3 linked regions of the Arabidopsis thaliana genome follow. The protein of the gene in region 3 interacts with the protein of the main gene of each other region in a pairwise test. Each region holds a gene or a part of one and is shown on either strand. Other genes may lie near its edges. The genes, in order: BEL10, BLH1 and HSPRO2.

What was found.
Region 1: the proteins of HSPRO2 (region 3) and BEL10 interact in a two-hybrid assay, tested with the Arabidopsis thaliana proteins (one large-scale study listed by BioGRID).
Region 2: the proteins of HSPRO2 (region 3) and BLH1 interact in a two-hybrid assay, tested with the Arabidopsis thaliana proteins (one large-scale study listed by BioGRID).

What each region holds. Positions count from the first base shown.
Region 1 is NC_003070.9:6,811,361-6,815,121, forward strand, and holds the start of BEL10 (BEL1-like homeodomain 10), read right to left. Parts: upstream 1,704-3,761; 5' UTR 1,483-1,703; intron 1,398-1,482; exon of another isoform or gene 844-1,397; intron 635-843; exon of another isoform or gene 568-634; 5' UTR 495-567; coding exon 1-494. Other genes in the region: AT1G19710 (UDP-Glycosyltransferase superfamily protein), read left to right, coding at 3,560-3,761.
Region 2 is NC_003071.7:15,090,726-15,094,486, forward strand, and holds the start of BLH1 (BEL1-like homeodomain 1), read right to left. Parts: upstream 1,691-3,761; 5' UTR 1,502-1,690; intron 1,454-1,501; exon of another isoform or gene 1,391-1,453; 5' UTR 1,342-1,390; exon of another isoform or gene 1,062-1,341; 5' UTR 975-1,061; coding exon 132-974; exon of another isoform or gene 1-131.
Region 3 is NC_003071.7:16,700,467-16,704,227, forward strand, and holds HSPRO2 (ortholog of sugar beet HS1 PRO-1 2), read right to left. Parts: upstream 1,871-3,761; 5' UTR 1,491-1,870; coding exon 183-1,490; 3' UTR 24-182; downstream 1-23. UniProt on the Arabidopsis thaliana protein: Positive regulator of basal resistance.

The sequences.
Region 1 (3,761 bases), on a different chromosome or scaffold from region 3:
CTGCTCATAAACCCTCCTGATGTCTCATTATACCGATAATTGTTGTAGAAGCCATTCCCACCATTACCAGCATAACCAGAGGAAGGATCAGATTGACCCAACAAGATCATTTCTTTGCTCTTCACACTCATCTCATCCACATGAAACGGTGACGTTTCCTTGACTGAAATTGAAGGATTCTGACTAGTAAACCCCAATTGGTATTGATGAAAGTGAAACGGAGCAACAGAGATCTGAGTACCAAGGCTCAAAGACAGTCCTTGACCATCGTGAAAGCTTAGATCGCTGCTTGAAACGGTACCGTTTCCTGTTACAACGTCTCCTGTGGTGGTTGGTGGGATAAAAACCATCTCGTTTCGAACAGTATCGCCGCCGGTGACGGTGAAAGAAGCGGCGGCGGATGAAGAAGAAGCTTGTTGGTTTTGTTGTTGATGGTTGAGAAAGATTGGTTCTTGCTGGTAACAACCGACATTACTTGTGTAATAAACTGCCATTGGTGTTTACACCTTTTAAAAGTTTTATTACAGTGAGTTCTTAGTTCGATGAGTTTGGTCGGGAAATGAGATCCTGCAAAAAAATAAGAGGAAGAAGAGTCGTGTAAGGTGTGGAATTTTAAAAATTTCTGATGGAATCTAAGAGAGGTTAAAACATCGTAATCATTTCACACCAAACCATTTTTTTTATATATCATACATAAACAGTTTCGAAAGCAACAAACAGAATCGGACCAAATTATTCGGAGGATTAAAGTCAAATTCTTGATAAAAAGCAAATGTTTTTCGTGAAGAACTGAAGAAACCCAGAAAAACCCAATACAGGAATTGTGTAATCGTAGAGGAATACCCGATCTATGGAGGTGAAATTGAGAGGAGAAAAAAACCCTAATTTGAGGTTGGAAAAAAAAATGCAGAGTAAAAAGAAATTGTGTAGCTCAACGTAGTGAGTCAAAAGCAGAGAAGATTCAATTATTACATAAAGAAGTAAAGTGTCTTGATGATTTCATCTCTTGTAGGAGAATTTCCAAAAAGCAAGGGAGAAAAAAAACACAGAAAGTATACAAAAAATAATAATCAAGAAACACAGTACAAGATTAATCATATCAAGAATCAAGAATCAAGAACTTGAATTTTTAAAAACTACCTGAGGGAGAGAATCAAAGTTAAAAGGAAGAAAAAAAACCTAGAGATTGTGTTTGTGAGTGTGGATGTGGCTGAATCAGGAAACACAAAAGCAGAAGAGTTTCGAACAGTTGAAGACAAAAAAAGATTTGAGACCCAATCCCGAGAGAGATAGAGAAAGAGGCGATTAATAATTGCAAAATTCTTAAATAAACAAATTTTTTTCAGTCCACAAGAACAATAAAACCAACCCAACTTATCATTGGGACATTAGACACCAACCCAATTTTTAAAAATATTATTATGCAATATCAACAATAAAATAAAATAATGATCACTACCGGAAAAATTTGACAACCGCTACCTGTAATTTTTAATTTTTTGCGGCAGAAGCTTCTGTTTCTGATGCTTAGAGTAAAGATAAATTAATATGATTTTTTTTGTGTGCCAACCATTCATAGAGAAACACGTGAGAGCTTACAAATCACCAATTTTCTTTTCTTGATTACGTGATAATATTTCTTATGACGACTTTAACATACAAAACTTAACAATTCCACACACACAAATAAATGGATTTTTATAGATGATTGTATTATACTTTAATGATGTTGTGTTGTCATTGACTTGAGACTCATACTACTTTTCCGTATAAGTTAACTAAATACAACCAAAAGAAAAAAGTTGAAGGAATGAGTGTTTATATATGAAAAGTTTAGTATTTGTATATTAAAAAAAAAAACCAAATCTAACTATTTAAACGAAATAATCTATAATGCGTACATTACCATGGTATCGTGGGAAACTTTTAACGACTTCCTGATTTGTGTACGTGAGGCTCCAAAATAGTGAAATTATTACCTGCCACAAATTATAGAGTCTAGATTTGGATTTCAAACTAAAATGTTTTTTTAAACTATTTGTTCTTATCACCTTGCTTTCATCATAAAGTTAAAGTTCGATACATTTTTAATAGAACTTCTTGAGCACTTTGTAGTTCAATATCTTTGAGGTTTTCTTTAAATGTTTGATATAACGGATATACTTTTAGTTATGCATGGTAGCGGAAATTAAACTCCATCAAATAAAACATAGAAACGTCATTATAGGTAGGAATATGAGATTACAAAACTGACCCTGATAAGCTGGTTTAAGGAAGAAGATAAAACAAAGGTGGGTGTGTGTCTGCTCAATTGCTTAATTGATGGATTAAATGACTTAACAACCAGTTGGTGAGTCCCTCCTTACTCTTCTGTTATACCCAATTTTTATTCTAAGTTCTCTTGTCTTTTTATTTCTTTTGTTATAAACCTTTTAGTTATACACTTACATGTTTGTATTTGCATATTCCACAATGAAGAATACGTAAAAGATTATCTTTATAGCTACACTAATAATATAATCCATTTCCTCTGATTTTTAAAATAACAAGTAGTTTCGTTTTGGTTTGTTGGAGATTGGATTTAGAGCAGCCGACACAAAATCATTTGGCAAGTACCATTGTGTTGGAAAATTATTATTCATGTGTTTTGAGTCTTTGAGAGATGATGATATTGACTTTTGTTTCCACGTGGATCTTGATTTATAATGATGATTAAAAATAAATTAATTAGGCAGTTAGCTGGTGAGAGATTGATTAAATCTACTAAAAATTTAGATTATTAATGATGTAATTATTTTTAAAACCGTATGGTTCTGTAAATCATATTTTAAAGTTGAGGATGAATCGATGATGCTAAACGAGGAAAATGTGTGTGAGTAAGAAATGAACAACCTTTGGTTTGGAGGAAAATGTTGAAGTATAATAATTCTTGCCAATTGTCAAATATATTAATTACATGGATATATCCGAAAAAAAACTTTATAATAAATAGCCACAAGTTATGGCCGTGTAACAAAAAGTAAAAGAATTTATTGCCACATACATTGTTGGACCATATATGAAGACGGATCATCACCACTAAAATTCATGTTTGTAACATTTATATTCTATGGATCGAAATCATTATGCTCTCCATTATTAGAACCAAACAAAACCAAACCAAAATTGTATCAGCAAAACTAATCTGAAGCCTAGCTTAGCTTAAGAAAAAAAAAGAATTAAAACCATATAGTATGCATTAACTATCATCATAACTAGTTTAGTTTTAGGCTTTTAGCAAATAGGCCTTTTAAAGCCCATTATAAATATGAAGAGAGGATTCCATCGGGGGCCTGCTGAGAAACGGCAATCAACTTCCTTCTAAATAACAAAAACGGCGTGAATTGCAAACTTCTGCAAAGAGTCAACACTGATTAGCGGCTTTTCCCCATTAAATCTCTCCTCTAAACTTCTTCGTTCCAAGCTTTCTCCATCACTGACGACAGATCCTTAGAAAGTTCTGAGATCGATTGTTACTGTGTAAACCCTAGGATGTGATTCTAAGCTGTAGAGAGAAACAATGGCGAAGCCATCAACGAGTATGTGGGCAACATTGCAGAAGAAGAGATGGCCACTGATGATTCTATTGGTTTTATCTGTATCAACAGTAGGAATGATTCTCGTGAGATCTACTTTTGATTCCTGTAGTGTTAGTGGAAAGAGATGTAGCCGAGAGAAGGAAGATAACAGTGACATTAAGATCCAATCGGTTTCTGGATCGT
Region 2 (3,761 bases), 1.6 Mb from region 3:
TATACATATAAAATGAATTGTGAAAATGACTGAAAATCTTAGGGACAGAACTTTTAAGTCCACTTCATGTGTGATATAAGAGAGCACTCAGTATATGTAGGCTTATTGTATATAATACGTATTGTTGTTACCTCATGAAGCATGTTACTAAGTTTTGCTTTCTTCATCTGTATTTCTTGTCTCTCTGCCGTGCCTAGCTCCACCGGACGTTTCCCGGCTGCTTCTGCTCCGCCACCGGAACCTTCTCCTCCAGCGCCGGCCGATGATTCTCCGACAGGTTTATCATTTCCGCAACTACCCTTTTTCGATGAGAATAGTTGGGATTTAGCGTTCATGTCATCGGAATCAGCGTTGACTACTTCGTCAAGAAGCTCTTGTGCTGCCTTCAAGTACTTGGAGCTAACAAGATTAGCTATACCGTTTGTTACCCCCGATCCTGTAGAGCCAGACCCGACCCGGATATCTTCTCCATGTCCGGACCCGAATCCGACGTGAATAGGCTGGTGTTGTTGATGATGTTGCTGTTGCTGCTGCTGTTGAGACGAGAGGGTTAAAGAGAGGCCTTGCTGCGCGCGTGGCGTCTCACACGCGGCTTGCTGGTGAGTGGGATCCACTTGGTGGCTACCGTAGAGACTGTACTGCACGCGCGGAGGATAACCGTGAAGTACGGAGATGTTGTCGGCGGCTGTAATGGAAGCAGCTTCGTGACCTGAGAGTGGTATTCCGACGAACTGCTGGCTCGCGTTTGGCTGCGGCGCGTGGGAATCGAGGAAAACGAAACTACTGTTGTTGTTGTTTGTGTTTGTGTTTGTGTTGTTGTTGTTGCTATTGTTGCTGTTGTTGTTGTTGTTCGAGTCGTTGTCTTGTTGGGTGTACTGAACGTAAGTAGTTGGATTCATGAGGATCAACGTTTGAAGACCACCGTCGGATCCGGCAGAGATCTCCGGTGGGTTTCCGTGAAAGTAAGCAGCCATCTATGTATAATTAGTAGTTGTTACACACGAATGAAACGACGTCGTTTTCTTTGATTCTCTTTCAATTCTTGACCTTCTTTCACCAAGCTGATTGATATCATAGAAAAACAAACAAAAGTATGAAAAAGGAGCAAAAACAAAACCACTATAAGTTTAATATAGATCTGTATATATATACAGTTGAAGCGAAGAAAAAAAGAATCGTGATCACATCAAGAAGACGAAGAAGAAGGGATGAATTATGGATTATGAGAAAGAGAGATTGAAGGATATGGAAATTAAGACATAATCATGATTGAAAATAAAATAATAAAATAATAGAGTTAGAAATTGAAAGAAAAAATGAATATTATAAAAGATGAAGAACCTGGATTGATAGAGATCTGAGGATGCACGTGTTTCATGATCATCTCAAGCTGCAAAAGGAAAGTTACATTAGAGAATTTCTATCAAAGAGAAAGAGAGAGAGACAGACACACACACATACACACGAATATACACTTATATATATATATTTATATGCATACCTGTGTTTGTGGAGATGTGTGTGATTGCTATGTGAGTTTGGTCTCTGTGTCAGACTCAAAGATCTCTGCAACTCTTTTCTTGCTCAAAGGGGAAATATAAAATACATTTAAAAAGCTGAGAAATAATATATAACAAAATAAAAATGACTAATATATATTGAAAGAGAGAGAGGATAAAGAAAGGAGAGATAAAAGATACCCATCTTTTCCTTCACTCATTAATCTTCCCACAGTCCTTAGTACGCCACCATTTTTCATCACTTTCTTTCTATTTTATTTTATTTTAGTGTTGTGGTCGGTATATCTTATAACCAAAGTGGATTTTTTGTTAAATGGGACAATAACCAATGTTTAGGACATGAAATATTCACTAATGTAACTTAATTTTACATTCATATATTGATATATACTTGTATCCGCAAAACAATTTGTGTGTGTGTGTGTGTTTACGTTCACCACCAGCTAATATTACTTATCTTTTTAATTTAATATGCTAAATAGACATTCCAACCATGTTGGAATTTGTTTTCAAAATTGATATTAAACTCTACACTTAGATATAGCTTTATGTAATCATTTAAATTAGTGTACTCTAGAGCAATTGGTTCAACAGTTTTTTTAAATAGAAAAAGATTAATGAATAAATTAAGAAAAAGACATAGCATTCTTTCATACTGCATGTTCAAAAAACCTTTACTTCATGTTATTATCACTATATAGCATGGTGATAAATAAGTTACAAAGTACATATATATCATAGGGAGCTAAAATTCATAAAACTAAGTGAGAAAATGTGCATATAATTGTTTGTTGTTGAAATTCTAGTTTGACATCCAGTACAAGAGATAATATTAAATTCGAAATATTTCAACTTCATAGACATATGTATACATTATTTGGTAATATATATGTGATACGTATCTTATTATAAATTTAGAATTGGTATACTTGAAAAACAGAGGAACTTGTATGATATGACTTTGGCCTTTTCATGTATTGACCAGGTAATGAACCCACATATCATAACAACCAAACACCCTTTATTTAGTTATTTATAGACGATATAATTTCATAGATGAAGTAAATGTTATCACATCAAGACATAGTGATATGTATGTCGTGTCCAATTTAGAATCATATCATTTTCTTTTAAAACATTATATTTGTATTTATTTAATAAAAAGAAATCCCACACGCATCTCAATCCAAATCTTTCTTTATTGATATAACTACAATCCTGAACATAAAGTATTCTTCGGATTACTATTCTTGCAGACTTTTATCATCTAGCAAGTTCAGAGTGTACACTGAGGATGGCAACGAACTTTGAACTGATTATGATTTATAAGTAATAAAATTAGTAATGTTTACGTTACCAAGTTCTTTTCATTTTTTCTTTTTTCAACTGTTTTTTTCTTTAATTTCATTTCATTATTTTCCTCAGCAGATTAACTAAGATACTTTATTTACAAAGTTTTATATTACCACATACACATAAAAACTTAAAACGCATCAACACTTTATTCTAGAAAATGAATAGATTTCATTTTTGAAAGTCCTACCGTTAGTTTATATTTTTCTTCCAAACACTCAAATAGGTTAAGAGTATAATATTTTAAATATACATAATGGGATTAGAGAAATTGAAAACTTATACGGAAAAGTGAATTGTGTCAGAAGATCCAAACAGCACAAAAACGAGGAAACGTCTCCTTCTGCAGAAACCTAAAATATTTAATCACACAAAAATCTAAATTATTGAGAAAGAGAGGAGAGAGGAAGAAAGAAGATGATAACGATAATGATAATGAAGCATGATGGGGAAAGAGTGGGTCCCGTTAAATGTATATTTACTTTTATTTCTTTATTTCATATATTCTTTTAGTTTACCACGTATGTCTATTTTTAAAGGGTATTTGACTAAAAGTATTTTATTTAAAATATAATTAGAAATATAGTAGATAATTTTAGTTGATTAATTGCAAAGAGTGTTTAAGTTCATGAGAAAGTCTTTTTTAGTAACTTGTATTTATTTTATTTATACGATATAGATAATTATAATTTGTATGTAGAACAACAAAAACATATGTGGACAAATTTGCTTATCTTTTTGAATCGTTTACCGTCCACATAAACAAACTACCAGTTATGTAAAATAAATCATCCATAGCGCATAAAAACTGGTATCTTGTTATTTTTCAAAAGCATTTTTGAAACTAGTATGTTCATATTTATACATATCTTATTGTTGATCAAAACA
Region 3 (3,761 bases):
TTACGATATTCGTAAATGTTATCGTTTGTTAAAAAATCTCATAAATCATATAAAAATGAATTTGTATTCAAATATGGATCGTCAAATGTTCCAAAAATTTCACTATCTTACAAACTAAATTAAACCAAACCACCAATTTAAATTTATATTAAATAATTATACCAGCAGAAATTAAAATTTAATCATCCCAAATGACTCCAAAACTCTCCCAGAAACGTCTTTGCCGCGTCAAGGCTCGGGAAATACGTCGGCTCCATAAATATCTGACTCAGTGAGTCACACGACTCTTGACTCGCCGTCGCGTTCATCTCCGCACTTCCCATCATAGCCGCCACTAACTGCCTATACCCAAAGAAGAAACTCTTCGCCGCCGCTTCCACCGCTTGCATCCCCTGAAGCAAATGAATCTTATCGCACTCTGTCTTCCTCGCGTAAAGCTTCATCGCCGCCTCTTGTAATCTTGGTCCTCCGGTTGGATCTACCTCAACCGCCAAGACCGCCGGTACTTTCTGTCTCAGATCTTTCGACATCTTCATCATCTCCACTAATCCTTTAGATCTGAAACAAAACGCATCGTTTTTACCCGTCGATTTGATCTGTAACTGTTTCTTCAATTTCAAAAAATCTTCCGGATCCATCAACATATGAAGATCTTCAATCTCCGCTAAAATTTTCCAGATCTTCTCCAGCAAGTAAACATCGTTTGAAGCTTTTCCGAATTTCTCTTCTTCGATACTTGAGACGATTCGATTCAGAAGATTTCCAGATGCGTAGATCCACGATTCGAGGATCTGGTGAATGATATAGAGAGTTTGATTCTCGTGATTATCGATATGATCTGCGTATGGATTATCCTTGAGGCTATAGATCTCGTTTGGTCGGCAAATCGCATCGTACCGGAGATTTGGTTTTCCGGCGATGTTTTGTTCACCGAGTCCGAGCGTGTACTTACACCGACTCATCTCGTTATCGATCGTATATAAGATCTTCTTCCCCAAAGCCTCTGATCTCCTCCACGTAGCTAGCTGCGGTAACAAACTCAACGAACTCCGTCCACCGCCGACCGGAGCCTCCGCTGATATACCTTCTTCTTCTTCATCTTCGCAGATCGCTGCTACAAGCTGGATCTGCTTCGTGATGAGAGAATCTAGCCTCCGGTTCCATTCACGGTGGTTGATGTACGGTCTAGTATCAGAACAAACGGCGAAAACTAATCTGAAACTGATCTCCAAAGCTTGAAGAGCTGGTTTGAGAATCGGCTCTGATGTCCATTGAGGAAAATCACGAGATGACCAGAGCTTTCTTAGCTCAGGGAGACGAAGGTAAAGCTCGTAAGCAGAGCAAAGAGCAGGTGCTGAACATGAGATCGGAGATGAAACAGGGACGATTTTGAACGGTGATGGAATAGTTACGTGAAGCTTTGAAGAAAGCTTAGGTGAGTTTGGTAAATCTGATGATACCATCTTCCTCTTCCAATCCATATCAACCATTTTTATTTTTTTAAGGTCTGTGTTTTTTTTGGTGTGTGTGTTTGTGTTTGTGTGTTAAATTTTGAATTTGAGGATGAGTTTAGGATACGAGGAGAGTATATATAGAGAGAAATGTGGATAGAGGATGGGGACGAGAAAAAAGGCGTGTGGAATAATACCGACGCGACTGATTTGAAAGTCAGCGTAGAAACGCGGTCTCCTTTTTAAAAAAAAAAAAAACCAGTACTGTGGATTAATTTCAGGATAATCTTTTTTTCGTTTTTTGGCTTTATATTGCTTTTTGAACTGTTTTCTATGAAAGGTAAATGCCTGATGATTAGTCGAATGTTCAGTAATCTGATTTCTAAGGAAATATCGAATATTTTCTCGTTTTTGGTAAGATATTATCTTTTAATAAAAGTTAAAGTTAAAACACACAGTCATGTTCATAACATGTTAATACATATATAGAAATGTTTTATTTGATGATATATGCGATGTAGTATAACATTTAGGGGTTGATCGATAAGAATATAAAATTTTCTGCAAATACATTTTTGAAAGTCAGTCATGCGTTATGGGTTGTCACTTATGAGCAATATTTACAAGCTGTAGATAGTTTTTGATCGAAGCAAATATATAATAATTTTGATAGTTGTCGATCTACAGCTACAAGTTCAACTAATCATGCACATGGTGTTTTGAATATATATCAACAATCGTAAAACATAACAGGTGTCATGTACCACATAAAACTGAAAGAAAACAATGTTTTAGTTGCAAATATGAAAAACGTCATTTATTTTCTATAATGAATTGAATAGAAAAAGAGAGAAAAATCACGTATTTGTTTATGTATATTTATGTATAAAACGGACAAAATTGTGAAATTTTAGTAGCGTAATGACGGGCAATTAAAGAAACTCAAGAAAGCATAAACTTAAATTCGCAACACTAGAGATTTTAATACATGTTTGATGTTTCCCTACAAAAGTTATAAAAGCTCTATCTATAAGGTCAAACAATTAGGATAATACTTGCAAGTAGGAGCATTATAAGACAAATATACGTTACGATAAAATTATTGCTCAAAATTAAATTTGGATACTAGAAAAGTGTATAGTCCGCAGTTTTCACAAATATAGTGTCCCCTAAATTAGTACTGTATCGTGTTATCAGTATTTGAAACGCGTATATAATAAAAATGACTATTTTTTATTGTAGTGTGGATAAGCATTTAGACGGTGCCGTGTTATGAATTGAAAAAGGAATGGCACATGGAAGTAGGAGGAATATAGATGCGAAGCTTATCCAAAATATGTGAGGAAGGTTGGAGTTTGGTCTCACTTAATCTTCTAATAGTGTTTTACTTGGAAGCTGTCGTTTCCTTTGACTTTGGTTTTTCTTTTTTCTTTTCCAGTTCAATATTCTAATCTCACCGATTTTTTTGTTTATTTATTATATACGATAGATAAATTTTGATTGTAATAAGACTGTTTTGAGATTTCTTCACCAAATCTCTTTTAAGTGCATGAAATATATTTTTTGTGACCAAGACTTTCATGGATGTTTCTGTTAATTTATCGGTACATTGGATATTGAATTTAATTAATACTATCAGTTGGAAACGGTTCGAGTGAAGACAGACCATTTCTTCCATTACATATTAGACATTAGACAAGTAGATTATAACAAAGGACAAATGATTATATAGTTTGAAATACAAATTAGTGGTCTATAATCTTCTTTATGTTAAGAGTTTTCTTTTCAAATAACTACTTATGTTTTAATTGGTATTGTTTACATCTATTTTACGTACGTCACTTGTTTGCACTTTGCACTGATCAAAGCCATCTTTAACAATAACGTTTTTCTACAACCAATTACACCCGCCTAGTAAATTCGAGACACATATTCTCTTTAAAAAGAATAAAATGTTACAACTAGTAAATTCGAGGCATTAGTCTTACCCTAAAACCAACTTTTTATATATGTTAATAAATACACTTTCTTTAGCTATATTGTTTTGGTTACTGAATCATTCCACTATTCATATCATTTAATATACATCCTATACTATTACGTTTTAAAAAAAATATATATATATGAAAAGTATGCAAAGAAGTTTGTAGATTGACGACAAAAAAAAAAAAAAAAAAATGTAGATTGTCTGCTTATTTTCTATTTTCCTTCCTCATTCCTTAACTTTGAATTCAAATAACTAAAATAAGTCATCTTTTGAGGAAAAAGAAATTTAGTGCATATATAAAAGAATATATCACATCCACATAT